3 linked regions of the Canis lupus familiaris genome follow. The protein of the gene in region 1 purifies or fractionates together with the protein of each later gene. This does not show direct contact. Links are inferred from orthologs where the notes say so. Each region holds a gene or a part of one and is shown on either strand. Other genes may lie near its edges.

Evidence for each region.
Region 2: the proteins of RUNX2 (region 1) and HDAC4 purify together in Homo sapiens (affinity purification with western blotting; 3 studies listed by BioGRID). This does not show direct contact. The link is inferred for Canis lupus familiaris from reciprocal best matches to the Homo sapiens genes RUNX2 and HDAC4.
Region 3: the proteins of RUNX2 (region 1) and UBTF purify together in Homo sapiens (co-immunoprecipitation; 3 studies listed by BioGRID and IntAct, with this or other methods). This does not show direct contact. The link is inferred for Canis lupus familiaris from reciprocal best matches to the Homo sapiens genes RUNX2 and UBTF.

What each region holds. Positions count from the first base shown.
Region 1 is NC_049233.1:13,823,328-13,829,133, forward strand, and holds the start of RUNX2 (runt-related transcription factor 2), read left to right. Parts: upstream 1-1,851; 5' UTR 1,852-1,924; coding exon 1,925-2,062; coding exon of another isoform or gene 2,063-2,097; intron 2,098-2,262; coding exon 2,263-2,386; intron 2,387-5,806. UniProt on the Homo sapiens protein: Transcription factor involved in osteoblastic differentiation and skeletal morphogenesis. Essential for the maturation of osteoblasts and both intramembranous and endochondral ossification.
Region 2 is NC_049246.1:49,716,769-49,722,382, reverse strand, and holds the start of HDAC4 (histone deacetylase 4), read left to right. Parts: upstream 1-1,850; 5' UTR 1,851-1,865; coding exon 1,866-1,980; intron 1,981-2,801; exon of another isoform or gene 2,802-3,001; intron 3,002-5,614. UniProt on the Homo sapiens protein: Responsible for the deacetylation of lysine residues on the N-terminal part of the core histones (H2A, H2B, H3 and H4).
Region 3 is NC_049230.1:19,064,013-19,068,367, reverse strand, and holds the end of UBTF (nucleolar transcription factor 1), read right to left. Parts: intron 4,155-4,355; coding exon 4,066-4,154; intron 3,962-4,065; coding exon 3,772-3,961; intron 2,797-3,771; coding exon 2,749-2,796; intron 2,647-2,748; coding exon 2,575-2,646; intron 2,487-2,574; coding exon 2,343-2,486; intron 2,260-2,342; coding exon 2,134-2,259; 3' UTR 1,511-2,133; downstream 1-1,510. UniProt on the Homo sapiens protein: Recognizes the ribosomal RNA gene promoter and activates transcription mediated by RNA polymerase I (Pol I) through cooperative interactions with the transcription factor SL1/TIF-IB complex.

The sequences.
Region 1 (5,806 bases):
CAATGAAAGCTTTTACTTTTCAATGTAAAACCTGTTTATACACACCACGAGGCATAATAAATCTGTATTGAAAATAAAACACTAAAATATATTTTTGGTTTTCTATCAGTAAAAGTTTATTATGAAAAAGTTCTAGGGTTGGGATAATAAAGGATTGAAGTCATTTTCATGTCTCCCCAGTATATTTTGGGCACATGAAGTTTTTGTAAAGAAACTTATGAACGTGTTTGTACATTTATCTTTATCTAATAAAAACCAAAAGCAGATAATAAACTCTGCTAGGAAGACCAGAAGTGGGAATATTTTGGCTGTAACACCACCCTCAGTGTTTTCTAGCCCCAACCCCATTATACACCCCAAATAATGTTTTGTAATTCACGGTCTCCGCCCACACTCCCAGTCATTTACTTCACGCCACTCCTTGTTACTATCACACTAGGAAGAAGTCTAACATGCAAATTCAGAGTGGCGTGGATAAATGGCAAAAAAAGAAAAAAGAAAAAAGAAAAAAAGCCTAGAAAATTGTTCTGTTCGGCTTTATAATTTTTGTTGAAAAATACCCCATCGCTCCCAACTGATGAAAACAGGAAGCTCTATTCATAAATATGAAATTCTCTGCCTATGATATATAATCATCCTAATAAGAAAATGAGTTCTATACATACATGTCCAAAGGGGCAAAAAAGGAGATAGTTTCCCAAAGATGTTTCCAATTTTCTTCTGAATCAGAATTAGCAAATCGAGACGACTACATACTCTGTCTGTGTGCATTATTCCTTACTACACACAGCATTTTGTAATTTATTTCAAAGCTTCCATTATAAACAAAAACTACAGCTTCTGTTAACCCACTCTATTCTGAGCTTATAAAGCCAGTAACATTGAACATTCTAAGTTATAACATAAGAATTTTACTTTATAGATGTGTAAGATTTGCTATCAAAGGCTCTGTTAAAGTTAACATCCAAATAAATTATTTAAAGAATTATATAGGATAAATTCATTCCCTTGAAAAATCAAAATTACAAGCATAAAAAAAAAAAACTAAGATTCATCCAACAAAGTGTATCAAAATTCTTACCATTCACTTTTTATCAGATCCTCAAACTGGTCATGAGATAAACATATACACAATACAAAAGATACTATTACATTCAATCTTTATTGTAGGAGCCAGCATCTAATATTGATCATACATTAACCAGACAGACATGATTTAGTATTTGTAAAGGAATCTCCAGACTAACACTTTCATGACAGCCAATTACAGTCAAGCCCAGCAAGCAGTTTGCAACCAGACCTTAAGAAAGGTAAACTTTTTTACAATGACTTACAGATTCACAAGTTTAAGAAGACAAGAAAAAGAAAAACAGAAGGACTCAAATCACCCAGCAAATATGAAGCAGACCCCAGAATGTGATACAATCCAAAGATGTAAATTATTGTAAATCATCACTGTTGTTCAGAATTTCACACAGCCTCTTGAGCCAATTTTGTTCTTTTCCACAGACACAATAATGAACTAAATAAAAGGAGGCAAAAAAAAAAAAAATATGGGGGTCAGGGAATAGAAAGGAAAACCTTAACTGCAGAGTTCTGTTCTACAAATGCTTAACCTTACAGGAGTTTGGGCTCCTTCAGCATTTGTATTCTATCCAAATCCTCATGAGTCACAAAAATTAAAAAGCTATATCCTTCTGGATGCCAGGAAGGGCCTTACCACAAGCCTTTTGTCAGAGAGAAAGAGAGAGAGAGAGACAGTGAAAGAGAGAGAGCAAGAGCAAGGGGGGAAAAGCCACAGTGGTAGGCAGTCCCACTTTACTTTGAGTACTGTGAGGTCACAAACCACATGATTCTGTCTCTCCAGTAATAGTGCTTGCAAAAAAAAGGAGTTTTAAAGCTTTTGCTTTTTTGGATTGTGTGAATGCTTCATTCGCCTCACAAACAACCACAGAACCACAAGTGCGGTGCAAACTTTCTCCAGGAGGACAGCAAGAAGTCTCTGGTTTTTAAATGGTTAATCTCCGCAGGTCACTACCAGCCACCGAGACCAACAGAGTCAGTGAGTGCTCTCTAACCACAGTCTATGCAGTAATAGTAGGTCCTTCAAATATTTGCTCATTCTCTTTTTGTTTTGTTTCCTTGCTTTTCACATGTTACCAGCTACATAATTTCTTGACAGAAAAAAATAAATATAAAGTCTATGTACTCCAGGCATACTGTAAAACTAAAACAAGGTTTGGGTATGGTTTGTATTTTCAGTTTAAGGCTGCAAGCAGAATTTACAACAGAGGGTACAAGTTCTATCTGGAAAAAAAAGGAGGGACTATGGCATCAAACAGCCTCTTCAGCACAGTGACACCATGTCAGCAAAACTTCTTTTGGGGTAAGTGTTATCATATTTTAAAATACTATGAGAGATGAACCTGTTAAACAAAAAGGTATGTTTCTTGGATAAACTGCTAGCTTTTCTGGCTAACGTTGTATGATACTAAAGGTTATGATAATACTGCTATTTTGTTGCACTAAAAACTGAAAAATGAAATTGCTGTACATATTTGCATTTGGCATCTGTAACTTATCTACTTCTCAGAGTAATGACTTGAAATAGAAAAAATTACATTATCTCACATTAGTCAAAATGTTTTCTAGAGCTGTAGAAATCAGGCAGTTAAAGAACAGTAAAGGAAAGTTTAATATTCTCATTTAACCCTCACTGCAATAAAATGAGACACTAAATTAATCAAAGTATTATGAAGTATTCACCCTGGCAGCTCCCTATATTTGAGCAAACTTCAAAAAGGAAGCAATTTTACAAAATAACAGACCACAGAATTATCTCGACATTATGCTCTACCATTATGCTCTACTGCAGAAATAAACCTGCAGCACAGTTAACATTTTACCCAGCTCAACTAAAAGAAATCTATTTGTACTTTTAAACTGCATCATAAGTGCGCAAGTTTGTTTCTAAACAACTTTATATAATTCAAGCATATATTCATATACAAAACTATAAGCATGTAAAAGCCATTTTTGAAAGCTCTTTATAGTTACTCAGGACATCCATGATACTAAGAAGTTCACAGAAGTCTCCAAAAACTTAAATATAATTATATTTTTCTACATAATTTTAATTTTACATCTACACATTATTATCCACATGGAAAACTTGTTGTAAACACACGGCAAATGTTGAAATGTCTAGCGTTCTTTTAATCATATTCTTGGACCTACCAAAATGAATACCATTTAGTCTCATGAAAAATAAAACTACGTAAGGATACCCTGCATGATTTTTAAAAGCCATACCTATTAAATCATGCTGAACTTTGAAAGAAAACAGGCATAAAATAGTCCCTTAATATTCAATTTCAAATTAGTGTTGATACACAAAAGTAAACTACTTCAATATTCATCAGCTGACATAGTATTATAGTAAAATATCTAAACACTTACAAGATTTTCTTTATGACGTCCAACATGTCCCAACTACAAGGCAAGTTTATAAAATTTTCCTTTATCCTTTAAAATAAATCCTTTTGCTGTGTATACCTGCATTAACTTTGCTTTATAACTTACAACTAACGATTGGAGTTTCCTTTACTCCTCCTACTTCACACATTTTAACTGGCTACCAGAGGATCAGTCTTAGTTTAGGTCAAAGAGAAATAATTAAACCTGAAGGAGAAAAATGGTTTCTCTTAAAAAGGTAAGGAAATGCAGTTTGTATTTTACCCCAAAAAATGTAAAATTGCTGTAGTGACTCCCTCAGTAGTTGGAAGTGGGCCCCCTCAGTTACAACACATACGATATAATAATCACAGATTATTTTTTTGAAACGTAATGGTAGATAATAAACATTACTCTAAAAATTTCTCCATTAAGGAAGGAGAACATATATACAACTAGGCTGCATTACAGTCCCTATTATAGTTACAGCTTACACATGGTAACTTTTGCTGTTCCTACACGAGATAAGGAAAAAAATAGTTAAAACTATTGCTATATGAAGGAATAACTTGAAACAGGCATGTCAAGCAGTTAACTTATTCTTTCACAATATTACTATTTGAAAAAAAAAATACATTTTTCTAACCAGATGGGGAGCAACACAAGTTTCAAAGAGTACTTCAGCATTAGAAGCAAAGACATTAATACTGTCACAAATATGTTAAAATGCTCTTTATCCTGTCTTATGAGAGGTCTAATATTTCCGTGACATCCTTAATAACTATTTCTACAGTAGTTTCCAAAACCTGACCAAGTATCTAAATGAGGCATAATAGTAAACTAAATAGATAAAGATCATCTATCGTAGGTCATATATTTTTAGACATCATAATTAATTCTTCCTCTTCTAAAGAGTAGGGGTTAGCCTCTCCCACCCCCAAATAGTATTTCAGCACCTGGAAAACGATGAACCCACTGTACCAAACTAATTATAAGTGTGTAGTGAACATTATGTATAGGTTGTCATCACACTACAAACATTTCCCCAGCCCATAATCTATTTGAAGTCTAAAACCTCACTTTGGGCCTTAAATTCTTATAAATGATAATCAAAACAACCTAATGAAAAATCAAAAGTGTGTGCCCCAATGTTGTAAAATAACTTTTCTGTAATTTGGACTTTTCCTAGATGAGGCACAAAACACACGCTGACCAATTGGCTCACCTCACTGAGTGAAAAGTGTGTGTGTGAGAAAGACAGAGACAGAGACAAAGATTTTCAGTGTCCTTGCTCTCTCAGCAACGATTTATCTTGAATTAAACAAGAACTTTCAATCTCATTATTCAAAATCTATCCATTATTTATAATAAATAAAGTCTGTTGAAAATAACATATCTGACTCCTGGAGTATCTTACAATGAAGAACTTATTTATGACAATATACCAGCTGATTAAATTTCTACATAAAGCTTTTGTAACTGACCATAGTAACTGAACATGATGTATAAACACTGATTCCAAAATAATAGCTCTGGTCCATATATCAGTAACCTTATAGTTACAAGATCTAATAATGTCAAAGCGTTATAACTTGCTTCTAACAGCTAAATACGAAAAGCCAGGGAGACAATTTAAAAGTCAAGAACATACACAGAAGAGCACTCCAACATATATTAAGTTAAAAGCGCCAATATAATTCCCAAAGACTCATAAATTATTTTAAATTATAATAACCCTAACTTTACATGAAAAACTGTTAAATACTTATGTTTAAATTTTAAAAATATTTTAAAATGCAAAAGATTTAAAAGAAATCACAGAAAAATATTTTGTTAGCCTGTATGAATCTCAGGACAGTCTCCAGATCACAATCATGAGGAAGGCATGAAATATACATGATAACATTATGATACATTTTAGTTATTCTAAAAGAATAAAAATTAATCTATTCAATTACACCCTTCTAACTAATCACTGATAGTTTGACTTGTTTAAATCAGTCATGCTAAAGTTAAATTCAGTAAGATAGAAATGTTCCAGTTTGTTAAAAGAACACTGAAATATTTGATGGTTAAATAAACTGCAGAGGGAGGAAAAAACTAACTCATTGAAGGCACTAAGATTTTATCAAACACACAGAATTAATCTTTATTGAATAGAACCATTCACAAATCAAAACTCACTGTACTTCAATACTTTCAAGCAGCGCTAATCAATTACAAACCTTTTCTAGTGCTTCAAAACTCATGTGCTTTCAATTTTATACACTGGTGGTCTTCAAGTACTGTATTGGGGCTGAGTTAAGACATTCTGTATCACAACTTTTTTTTCAACAAATATCCATCTAGAGGG
Region 2 (5,614 bases), on another chromosome or scaffold:
GGGTTGAGGGGATGGGTACTTGTCTTCCTGCCTCTTGAGCCCTTACCCGCTTCTGATCCCGAGGAGGCATTGGTCTTTGATGCTGCCTGTTGTTCATCTGTAGGCAAGACAAGCTTGTGTGATTTGGCTGTGCCTGCCCCCTGTGCCCCTGCCACCCGGGGCGGGGGCTGTAGCATCTCACAGATAATCCAGTTTTCCCCTGGTTCCCAGCACAGGGTCCCTATATTCATTGATGACTTTTTGCCAAATCCCAGGATGCCATGTTCTAGCCCTCATCTTGCGTGGCCTTTCCCCAGTATTGACTCAGTCCACCAACCCCTTCTAGAAGTACCTTGTCCCAGAACCACACGCTCCGGTTACCTGTCCACTGTCCTGGCCCCTCATCCTTTAACTCCTGGGCAGATATTATCTCATCTCCCCTATACCTCAGCATTGAGGTGTCCCCAGGGCTGGGCCCTTGGATGCCTTCTCATTCTTGTTGACTCCCGTGGCGATCTCAGTGGCCCCATCTCATCCATTCACAATCCAGAACAGCATCTTGGTTCTGCTCCCATTCAGATTTCTAGCTCTAGCCCAGATCTTGCCTGATTCCACATTCAAGAGCCAGCTGCTTGTTTTGGGTCCTTGCCTGGGTGTTTAGTAGGCACCTCAGACTTGAGTGTCTGAAACTGGACTCTTGGTTGCCCGTACCAACCCAGACTCAGTGCTTCCACCATCCTCTGAAGCCCCGATTCGCCCTTGAAATCCTGTCTCCATAGCCCATTCTCCCAACTAGCAAATGCCATCAGCTGCCCGGCAAAGCATGCGCAGAAGGAGGAGTCCCTTCTGAGTGATGAAAACGTTCTAACATGGGTTCAAGGTGACGCTTGCACATCTTGGTAAATTTACTAGAAATTCACTGACTTGTGCATTTCTGAAGGGTAAAAGGCCGTGTGCTCAGTAAAGTTAGTTATTAAGTATGTGTAGAGCTTGGCTACTCCCCCTCTCCGTCAGTGACGACGGCAGCCCGGCCACCACTGGCTCGCACCTAGAACCCGCAGGCACCTCCCCACCTGTTCCTTGCTTCTGTTGTAGCCCCCTGTTCCAGCTCAGCCCAGAAGCCAGAGTCTGGTTCATAGGTAGTGTCCCCCAACACCCAAAGGTCCACGCCTTAATTCAGAATCTGTGAGTATGTGACCTAACGTGGCCAAAGGGACCTTGTAGGTGTGATTAAGGATCTTGAGATGGATGATGATCTTGAATTACCCAGGTGGGTCCAGTGGAATCATAAGGGTCCTTCAGATGGGGAGGCAGGAGGGTCAGAGTGGAAGAAGGAGTCGTGAGTACAGCTGCAGTGACTGATGGCTTTGAAGACAGGGGGACCTGGCGGCTGGGAAAGGCCGGGAGCAGATTCTCCCCTGGAGCCGCCAGAACCGTGGGATAAATCTGTGTTGTTTGGAGCCACTAAGTGTGTAGGAAGAGCCACAGGAGATGAATGCACGTGATGACCTTGTGGCGCTCCTGGAGCCCGGGCTCAGCTTTTCTGCTTCCTATCACTGTGACCTGGGCAGATTGCTCTGCTTCCCCACCTGTCCGTTTTGCACATCGGTTAAATGGGGATTAGCAGGCGGTTAGCAGTGTCCGTGTGTCCCGCTTGCTGCGTGGTTCACGCACTCGTTTCCTTTGTGGTCGCCTCCCCTCCAGGCTGTGCGCTCCGTGGAGGGCGGGTCTGGGGGCTTGTTGTGCCTGTCCCCTGCGGACTGTCTGGAGAGGCTCCAGAAGGCTGGGCGTCAGCCAGCACTCATGTGCTCAGTGTGTGAGCCTGTGGGCTGTCCCTGGGCTGGTTTTCCAGGGTGAGCACGTCCACTGTCGCCAGAGCTGGCAAAATGGCTCTGGCCACGTTCAGAGCTGAAGAAACGCCTGGTGTGACTATGTGGCCCACAGAGTGGGTGGGTCCCCAGGACCCCGGAGCATGCAGGTGCCCCCGCGGGCTTGCTGGAGGTGAGCCCAGGCTGCGGGACTTCCTCCTCGAGGGCCTGGGCCCGAGGGGGGCACATTTCAGTGGCTGGCTGGAGGCGGCGGGCAGGAGGCCCACCTCAGGCGCGCCTGGCAGCGGCGGGGGACTTGGGTGTCGGGTGGAGCGTGTTCTTTATCAGCTCCCACCGAGGAGGAGTCCACGGCACTTGCGCCCAGTGAGCAGCGTCTGTCCCCTTGGCTGTGGGTGCTTAGGACCCTCGTCTGCCCCTGGGCCGCACTTCGAAGGATGTTCTCTGGTGGGTTGGGGGCCGCTGAGCGGTGCTAGGCCCTGCCTCCCTCCTCCTCCCTCAGCATCGGGGCCACCTTCATGTTCCCCGCACTTTTCTGGGTTCGGGGCCAGGGGGCATAGGGAGCAGCTGGGCCACCCAGCCACCTCCCAGCCCTTGCATTTTCGGGGGTGGGGTGTGAGGGGCAGCAGACAGTGCACTTCTGCGGGCTGTGCAGAGGGCGCTTTTTTGTTTTTCACGGTAGAGGCTTTCCTCAGTGTTCGGCCCGTATCCAAGGGTGAGTCTCCACGAAGCTGGGCGGGTGTGTTGGCGGGACCCGTCCTCTGGCCGGTCGCTGGGCAGGGGCCTGGCGCTTCCTCGGGCCCTGGTGCCATGACCTGGCCCTTCCCTCCTGGGCTCTCGGCTCCTCCCTGGGGCGCAGGCCCGGCCCCCGCACTCCGGCCTGCAGTGTATCAGCTGTCACTGCTCCTGCCTCGGGCCAGCACCCAGCTCCCGCCCTCCGCTCGGCGCTGCTCTGGGAGTCCCTGCGTGCGGGGGGCGGGCGGGCCGTGGGGTCAAAGGCTGCCCGTAGCGCGGCCTCCCCGGCCCCGAGGTCCCTGGCCGTCCTGGCTTCCGGGCCGGGTCCTTCTTCACTCTGCATCGCCGGGCCCCTTCCCAGCTCCCAGAATCCTGCGGCTCTTGTCTCCTCGCACGATCTGCTCCTGGGAAGGATTTCGGTCATTTGGCTGTCCCCAGAGTGGAGTCTTCGGAGGAGGAGGGTAAGTGCCAGCAGCCCGTGTTCCTCACAAGCCGTTCTTCAAGAATCAAGAACGAACCCTCCTCGGCTCAGCCAGGCGGCGACTGGGTGGAAAGGCCTCTTAACCTTGTGTTTTCACAATCTAAGTTAAAGATTAATTGGACTCCTAATAATCCTGCAGAAATTCTCGACATCTCAGTTCGCATTCCCTTTCATCCATTTCTTCTTAAGAAAGCCCTGTCGCCGGACTTCAGAATTGAAATCTGCGTGGAGCAGATAACTGTCCGCCCCCACGCCTTCCGTGGTCACTTTAGGAACCGGCAGAGGCTGCACGAGCGGTTTTCAGCCGCCAAGGAGATTATTTTCGAAATGACCCTGCAGTCCGTGAAATGACTTCTTTGAAACAGGAGGCTGAGGAGGTCGGGCTGCCTGTACTCAGGTCGGGGTGTGAGCTCGGCGTCCCCAGGGGGCCCACCCGCTCCCCACCGGGTTCTCACCGGGGCACGGCGCCACCGCCTTGTTTGCTCGTCTTCCCACTCCGGTGGCGGGAGCAGCTGGTGTACAGGTCGGGGGGGCAGGTAACGTGCTGGATCCTGGGGACGGGGTGTGGCCAGTGTCCGCCGGGGCGCAAAGCGGTTTTTGCAGCCCAAGCTGCCGGGTCACTGGGTCAGGGCCCACAGCCCCCACGGAGGCCCAGCACAGGTGCCCTGCGCTGGCCGGCAGCCCCCTCGCTCAGGTTACGCAGCGTGACTGGACATGCTTTGAAGGCAGGTGTCCCCAAAGGTACTGTCCAGGAAGGGAAAGCTCTGAGCTTTCGACCTCCTCATCCACACGCAGGGCCGGCCCGGGGGGGGGTCGGGGGGTCCTGGCCCATCCTGGGGGACCGTCGCACTCCCGGAGAAGCGGCCGCGCCAGGCCCTCGGGAGGGCAGAGCATTCGGTCCTCCTGGCTTTCTGGAAGCTGGATTTTGTACCGGAGGGCAGCAGATCTGTGCTGATCCTACGAAAAGAAGGAAGACAGAGGAAACATGGTTATTTCCCCGTCAGAAATTTTCATTTAAAACTGATTCATACAGGTCAGTTTAAATGGACTTTAAGACGAAGTTTCCCGTGAGGAAGTGACGGTGGCCGAGTGGAGCTGGGTGAGTGGGTCGGGCCATCGTGCTTCCTCGTCCTGGCTCTGTAGCCCCAGGAGTCCTTCATCCCTCCCGTCAAGAACTAGGTCTTAGCAAGCCAACGCCTGCGCCCCTTGGGGTGACATTTTACCATAGGAAGGGGCCCCGCATTGGTGGGGTGAGGCTGAGAGGCTGGGCCCAGGCTGGGGACACCTGCAGGGGGCAGGGGGCCAGCACGGTCCCCCGGGGAGGGCCTTGCCCCGTGCCCCACCTCCCCGCCACCTGCACCCACCCGGACCGCGTGTGAACCTTCTTGACACGTGAAGTGCCCTCTGTCCCTGAGAAGGCTGGGAGGTAGGATTTGGGAACGCCGGTCCATCCTCTATCGCCAGGAGACCCAAGAGCCCCGGGTGTATCACTCCAGGTGCAAAGTGGAGTGAGACACTGTCCCGGGCGGGTTTCTGCACGGCTCACCTGCCCCCGGGGCCCCGGGCCTCTTGCCCAGAGGCCAGTAGGGGATGCGGGGAGTCGCGGCCCGCACCCGACGCACCCTGTCCTCACTTTAGTGTTTGTCCCTGACTGGCTTTCTTTGAGAAACTAGGCGGGCCATAGGCGTGCGCTGCCTGGAGCGGTGCTGTCGCACCGGGACGGGCACCGGCGGCCTGTCGTCCTCTTGCTCCGGGGCGTGTGTCTGGCTGAGCAGACTCACCCTGTCCATCCCCGTGCTGCTCTGCCGGTGGCTCCTTGGACGGCTGCGGCTGGCCCTGCTCTTGCCCACGCGCAGGGATTTCCCACGTACGGAGACCACACTCGGGCCTGCAGTTCCTGGGTCCCAGGACCCAGATTCGGCCTCCCGAGGGCAAGCCTGTGACCCCCGAAGGGCCTCCTCGTCATGCCGCCGGCGGCTCCCGCGCCCCCGGGGGCTCGTGGTGTCCTGCGGGCTCGCCTGGGTCACGCAGGTGCCGCGGCCGTCAGGAGCCCTCCTTCCTGAGAAGCCTGTTCATCTTATTCCACTTTCCCCATTCTCCGCTGGAGGTCTGGAGCGTCTCCTTGGCCGGCGGAGACCGAGGCCTCGGGCGCCTCCGCGCAGGGCCCGCGAGCGTCGCCAGGGCTCAGCCTCCCCGGTAAACGGTGTCCGACAGCAGCAGTCCTGCCTGGAAATGTCGCCCGGCGGATCCACCTTGTCCGGGCGTTGGCGCTTCTGGCCTCTTGAGTTGTTCTCGAGCTTTGCCTTCCACGTTTGAGCCTGAATTCCTGCAGAATTCACTTTGGGCTGCGGTGAGTGGGGGCGGCTTCCGTCCTGTTGACACCTGCGCCCGGCAGTGTCCGGGGTCGCCGCACCCGGGGACGGGCTGCGCGGGCTGCGGGCAGGGGCACCTGCTCTGCTCCGGGGTCCCTCCTGCCCCGTCCTTGATCCCGGGGCCCGCCCCGGGGGCCCATGCGCCGCGCCCACAGCTCAGCCTGCAGAGCGTGCGCGTCCCCACGACAGTAAGTCTTCTCGCCCCTAACTTGCTCCATCTC
Region 3 (4,355 bases), on another chromosome or scaffold:
GAAAACAAAACTTCTACAGTTGGCCTTAAGCTTAGGCAGACACCTCTAAGACACTCCCTCCCACCTCCCATGATACAAATTCAAGTTGTGGTTGTTGTTGAAACCTACAAAAACACTCCTTAAATATTAGAAAAAAAGGGGAGAGAGTGGGGAGGGTCCTCCCACTCCAACCATCCCATCCCAGTGCCAAAATGCACTCAGAGTGACCTCTTACAGCACCAACACCCCCATCCCCACAGCCCTGTTCGTACTGTAAGAATTTTTGATTTTTAAAACACGAAAAAAAGAAGTGCCCCATTCAAAGTTGTCTTTAAATGAAAACACATTCCACTAAAACACAACAGTGTAGGGGCATTCAGACAGGAAAATGGGGTTCTTTGCAGAGGCTCTTGGGGAAGAAATAGAACCTATGAACCCCTGTGTCAGGGTCAGGACAAAGGAAGGGGAGTGGGAGAGGGGAGTGTCCCCCCAGGTTCCCCACCCCCAGCACCACTTCCGAGGCAAAGCAGATTGTTTGCTTTCCTTTGGGGGTGGGACCTACCTTTCCCATCCCACCTCCTGGGTGGAATTCCCATTCTTCCCCCATCCCTTGGCTTTCATTCAGAGGGGGAAGGCGGAAAAGCACAAAGCCCCCACTAAATAGGTCATTAACATGATTGTAAGAAAAAAAAGCCAAAATTTAATAAAAAATAAAAAATTTCAATCCACAGAGATAAGGTGGCTTGGCTTATTAAGGGTCTAGGGATTAGGTTACCAGACATTTGGAGATGGCCAGGAAGGGTTAGGACAGCTGCAAAAGCAGCCTTTGCAGACCCCTTCCCCACCTGGGGGTTTGGAGGGGCGGGGAAGGGAGCAGACCTGAGAAATCAAAGGGAATGGGGTGGGGGTGTGGGGGAGCTGAAGGATACAGGGAAAGGCAGGAGGGGTGTGTGTTAAGAGCTTCCCATCTATCTCCCCAAGCCCAGTTTCTGAGCCTAAGGTGGCCAGGCAACCTCCCAGATGAACTGGGAAGGCCCTTCCCACTAAATAAAAGCTCTTTTAGGTGCACCCAGTCTGTCCCCCTCCCAATGCCCCACTGGAGACCAGCGGTGGCTCAGAGTCATGTAGCCCTGGCAGAGAGAAGCAGATATACAGGAAGCATTAGAGTGGTCAGTACACCGCCCCCCCCCCCCCCCCCACAATTGAATCAGAGATTAGGCAAAGCAGAGAATGTGGAGAAAGGGGCTGCCCCAGCCTGTTCCCACCAGGATCAACATCTCCCTGGCCCTTAGCAACCCATTCACCAGATTCAGACTGAGGTGGGCTCCCCCTTCTCTTACACACGCGCGCGCACACACACATGCACACACGCCTTTGCACACATCCACAGGTGCACCCATGCTATGTACAGGCGACACACGCTCCCGCGCACGCACTTTTCCATTCACATCAAGACCGTTTTTAAAAAGTCCCAAACCTACCCCCTAAACCCTCCCTCTCCCAGAAATGACAACAGAGACGGCAGCCGAGATCGGTAGGAAACGTCTCGTTGACAGCTCAGAGCTTAAAAAAAAAAATATATACACATATATAAAAAACACTTCTGCCCCCTCCCCCCCATGAGTGGGTCCAGGCAGCTCCTTCCTGCAGAGGGCAGGGGAGAGGGCTATGGGGCGGCGCCTGTTCTCTCTGAGGCTCCTGCCCTCCTCTCCCCCCACGTGTTCCCTGCCTCCAGTTCCAATGCAGGGGTCCAGTCGGCAAGCCCCTCCAGGACAGGAAGGGTCTTCCCCAAGCTTCCACCCTCCCATGGGTCGGGCTGCAGGTGTGGAGGGCCTCACTGAACTCTTTGGGACCCCCCACCCCACTCCCAGGTCCATTGTCCATGACGGAACCCCAAGTGCAGAAGAGGGGTGGGCCGGGCCGGTCCAGTGGTGGCTCAGTCTGATGGTTGCACTCCCTGGAGGGCCCCCCAGGGCTGATGTCTCTGAGGCTGCAGAGTCCTGGCCTGGGCTCCTCCAGCCCCTCCCCCACCGAATTAAAAAAAAAAAGAAAAAGAAAAAGAAAGAAAGTGGGGGAGGCCAGGGGCAGGGGACAGAACATGGGGGAGAAACAAAGGTGGTCAGTTGGGGAGGGGAGCCCTGGGTGGGATGAGTCTCAGTTGGAGTCAGAGTCCGAGGAGTCCCCCGAGGAGGAGGAGCTAGAGCTGCTGCCCTCAGACTCATTGTCCTCATCCTCATCGTCGTCCTCATCATCGTCCTCATCCTCATCATCCTCCTCGTTCTGGGGGGGGCAAGGAATGCGGTCACCAGGTGGCAGTCCTGGTAAGGGCCACCCTGCCCTCCCACCACGCCCTGCTGCCTGACCTCATCTCCGTCCTCACTCTCGTCCTCGCTGCTGGACTCGGAGGAGTCCCCACCATCCTCAGAGGAATCCCCGTTCTCATCATCCTCCTCCTCTTCGTCCTCATCCTCATCCTCCTCATCCTCTTCATCATCCTCCTCAGACTCCTGGGAGGGGCAGAGGCATGTCAGTGGTCTGTGCCACACTCCTCCAGGCACCGAGGACCCCCCCCTCCATCTTGGAGGAGCTCCTTACCGACTTGGACTGCAAGGCAGTCCTGCTGGATTTGGGGTTTGGGCCTCGAAGCTTGGTCATGCTCTTACGTTTCTGCAGGGAAGGGGAACACAGACGAAGGGAGAAGCCAGGAGTTCCAGACAGTGGACCCCCAAACCCCCCCTTTCCCCAGCACCACCCTGCTCCCACACTCACATTGGAGATGTACTCTTTATACGCTGCACGGTCCTGAGGAGACAAACTCTGGGAGACAGAGAAGGAGGTAAAGGTTGGAACGCCACCCAAACTACTGCTGATGGGAGTGTGTTGACCAAAAGCCAGGCAGTGGGTTAAGCATTTACATACCATTACCCCATTCTACTCCTGCCACTCTCCCCATACCTTGGGTCTCTGCAGAGTGCCCCCCAGGATCTGCGAAGACAGTCCAGGACTAATGCCTAAGAAGCCCTGAATTCTTTTCTAAGCTACCCTGTATTAGGACTGTGGTTTTCATGTCCCTCCTACTGTTCTACAGTCAAGGGGAGGCTCCAGAGTTAGGGCCTTCCTCAGCAGAGAAGCCCCCTACAATGACTATCATAGCTTGGTATCATCACTCCCACCCAACAAGCCTAGAGCCACTGATAAAGGAGTCTGTGGCTCCCCAAAACCTCTAGACACTTAAACCCTGCTATCTCCCAGGGTCCCTGGCTAACTTGCCTGGATAGCTGGGGGCGAAAGAGGTGGCTCTCCCCACGTTATAAACCTGACTGCTCAACCAAGGCGCCCAAGAAGAGCTCGGAGGCTTGAGGCCAAACCAGAGTCTGGGAGACGCCCTCTGGTCCCAGCTGGAGGTAGGACAAGGCAATCTGGCTTGGATTACTCTATTTACTAGCTGTGTAACCTTGGGTAAATTACTTAATCTCTCTGAACCTTAGTTTCTTTTCTTTGATATTGATCATAGGACTGCTAGGACAATGAATGGAATCGTGGAGGCAGGCCAGCCAGATGCTGCCTCCTCCTTCCAAGGGTCCCCAGCCCTCTCACCTTTTTTTTCTTAAGATTTTATTTGTTTATTCATGAGAGACTGAAAGAGGCAGAGACCTAGGCAGAGGGAGAAGCAGACTCCCTGAGGGGAGCCCAATGCAGGACTTGATCCCAGGACCCCAGGATCACACCCGGAGCCAAAGGCAGATGCCCAACCACTGAGCCACCCAGGTACCCCCACCCCAGCCCTCTCACCTTGACCCAGAGGTCCAGATGTACTTTGTACTGCTTCTGCTGCTCCTCTGCCAATTTTTTGTAGTGCTCTTTCTGGCTCTGGGAGATGCGCTGCCAGCGGCTGCCAATCTCCACCATGCGCTCTTTCAGCGGCAGGTGGTTCAGCTCCCCATTGGACAGCAGCTCCTGGGAGAACTTCTGGTAACCGTTCCTAGGTGGTAGAGTGGCACAGGGAGGGTTAGGACGCCTACCCTACAGCCATCCAGCCATGACCCTTCCTGCGGCCAAGGTGGGTTCTAGCCCCCTTAGACTCACATGGGAGGCTTCTTGGGTTCTCCTTGAAACTTCATCTTCTTGGATGAGTTTGCAGCAGTTGGGGGTGCCCGCATCTCACTCAGCTCTCTCTGTGGGGACACTCAAAGGAGTCACGCTCACTCCACCCCTCACCCAAAATTATTTCTACCATCTGCCCCACGCCATCAGTTGCCTTAGAAACTGAGGCCGAGGGATTCCTGGGTGGCGCAGCGGTTTGGCGCCTGCCTTTGGCCCAGGGCGTGATCCTGGAGACCCGGGATCGAATCCCACATCAGGCTCCCAGTGCATGG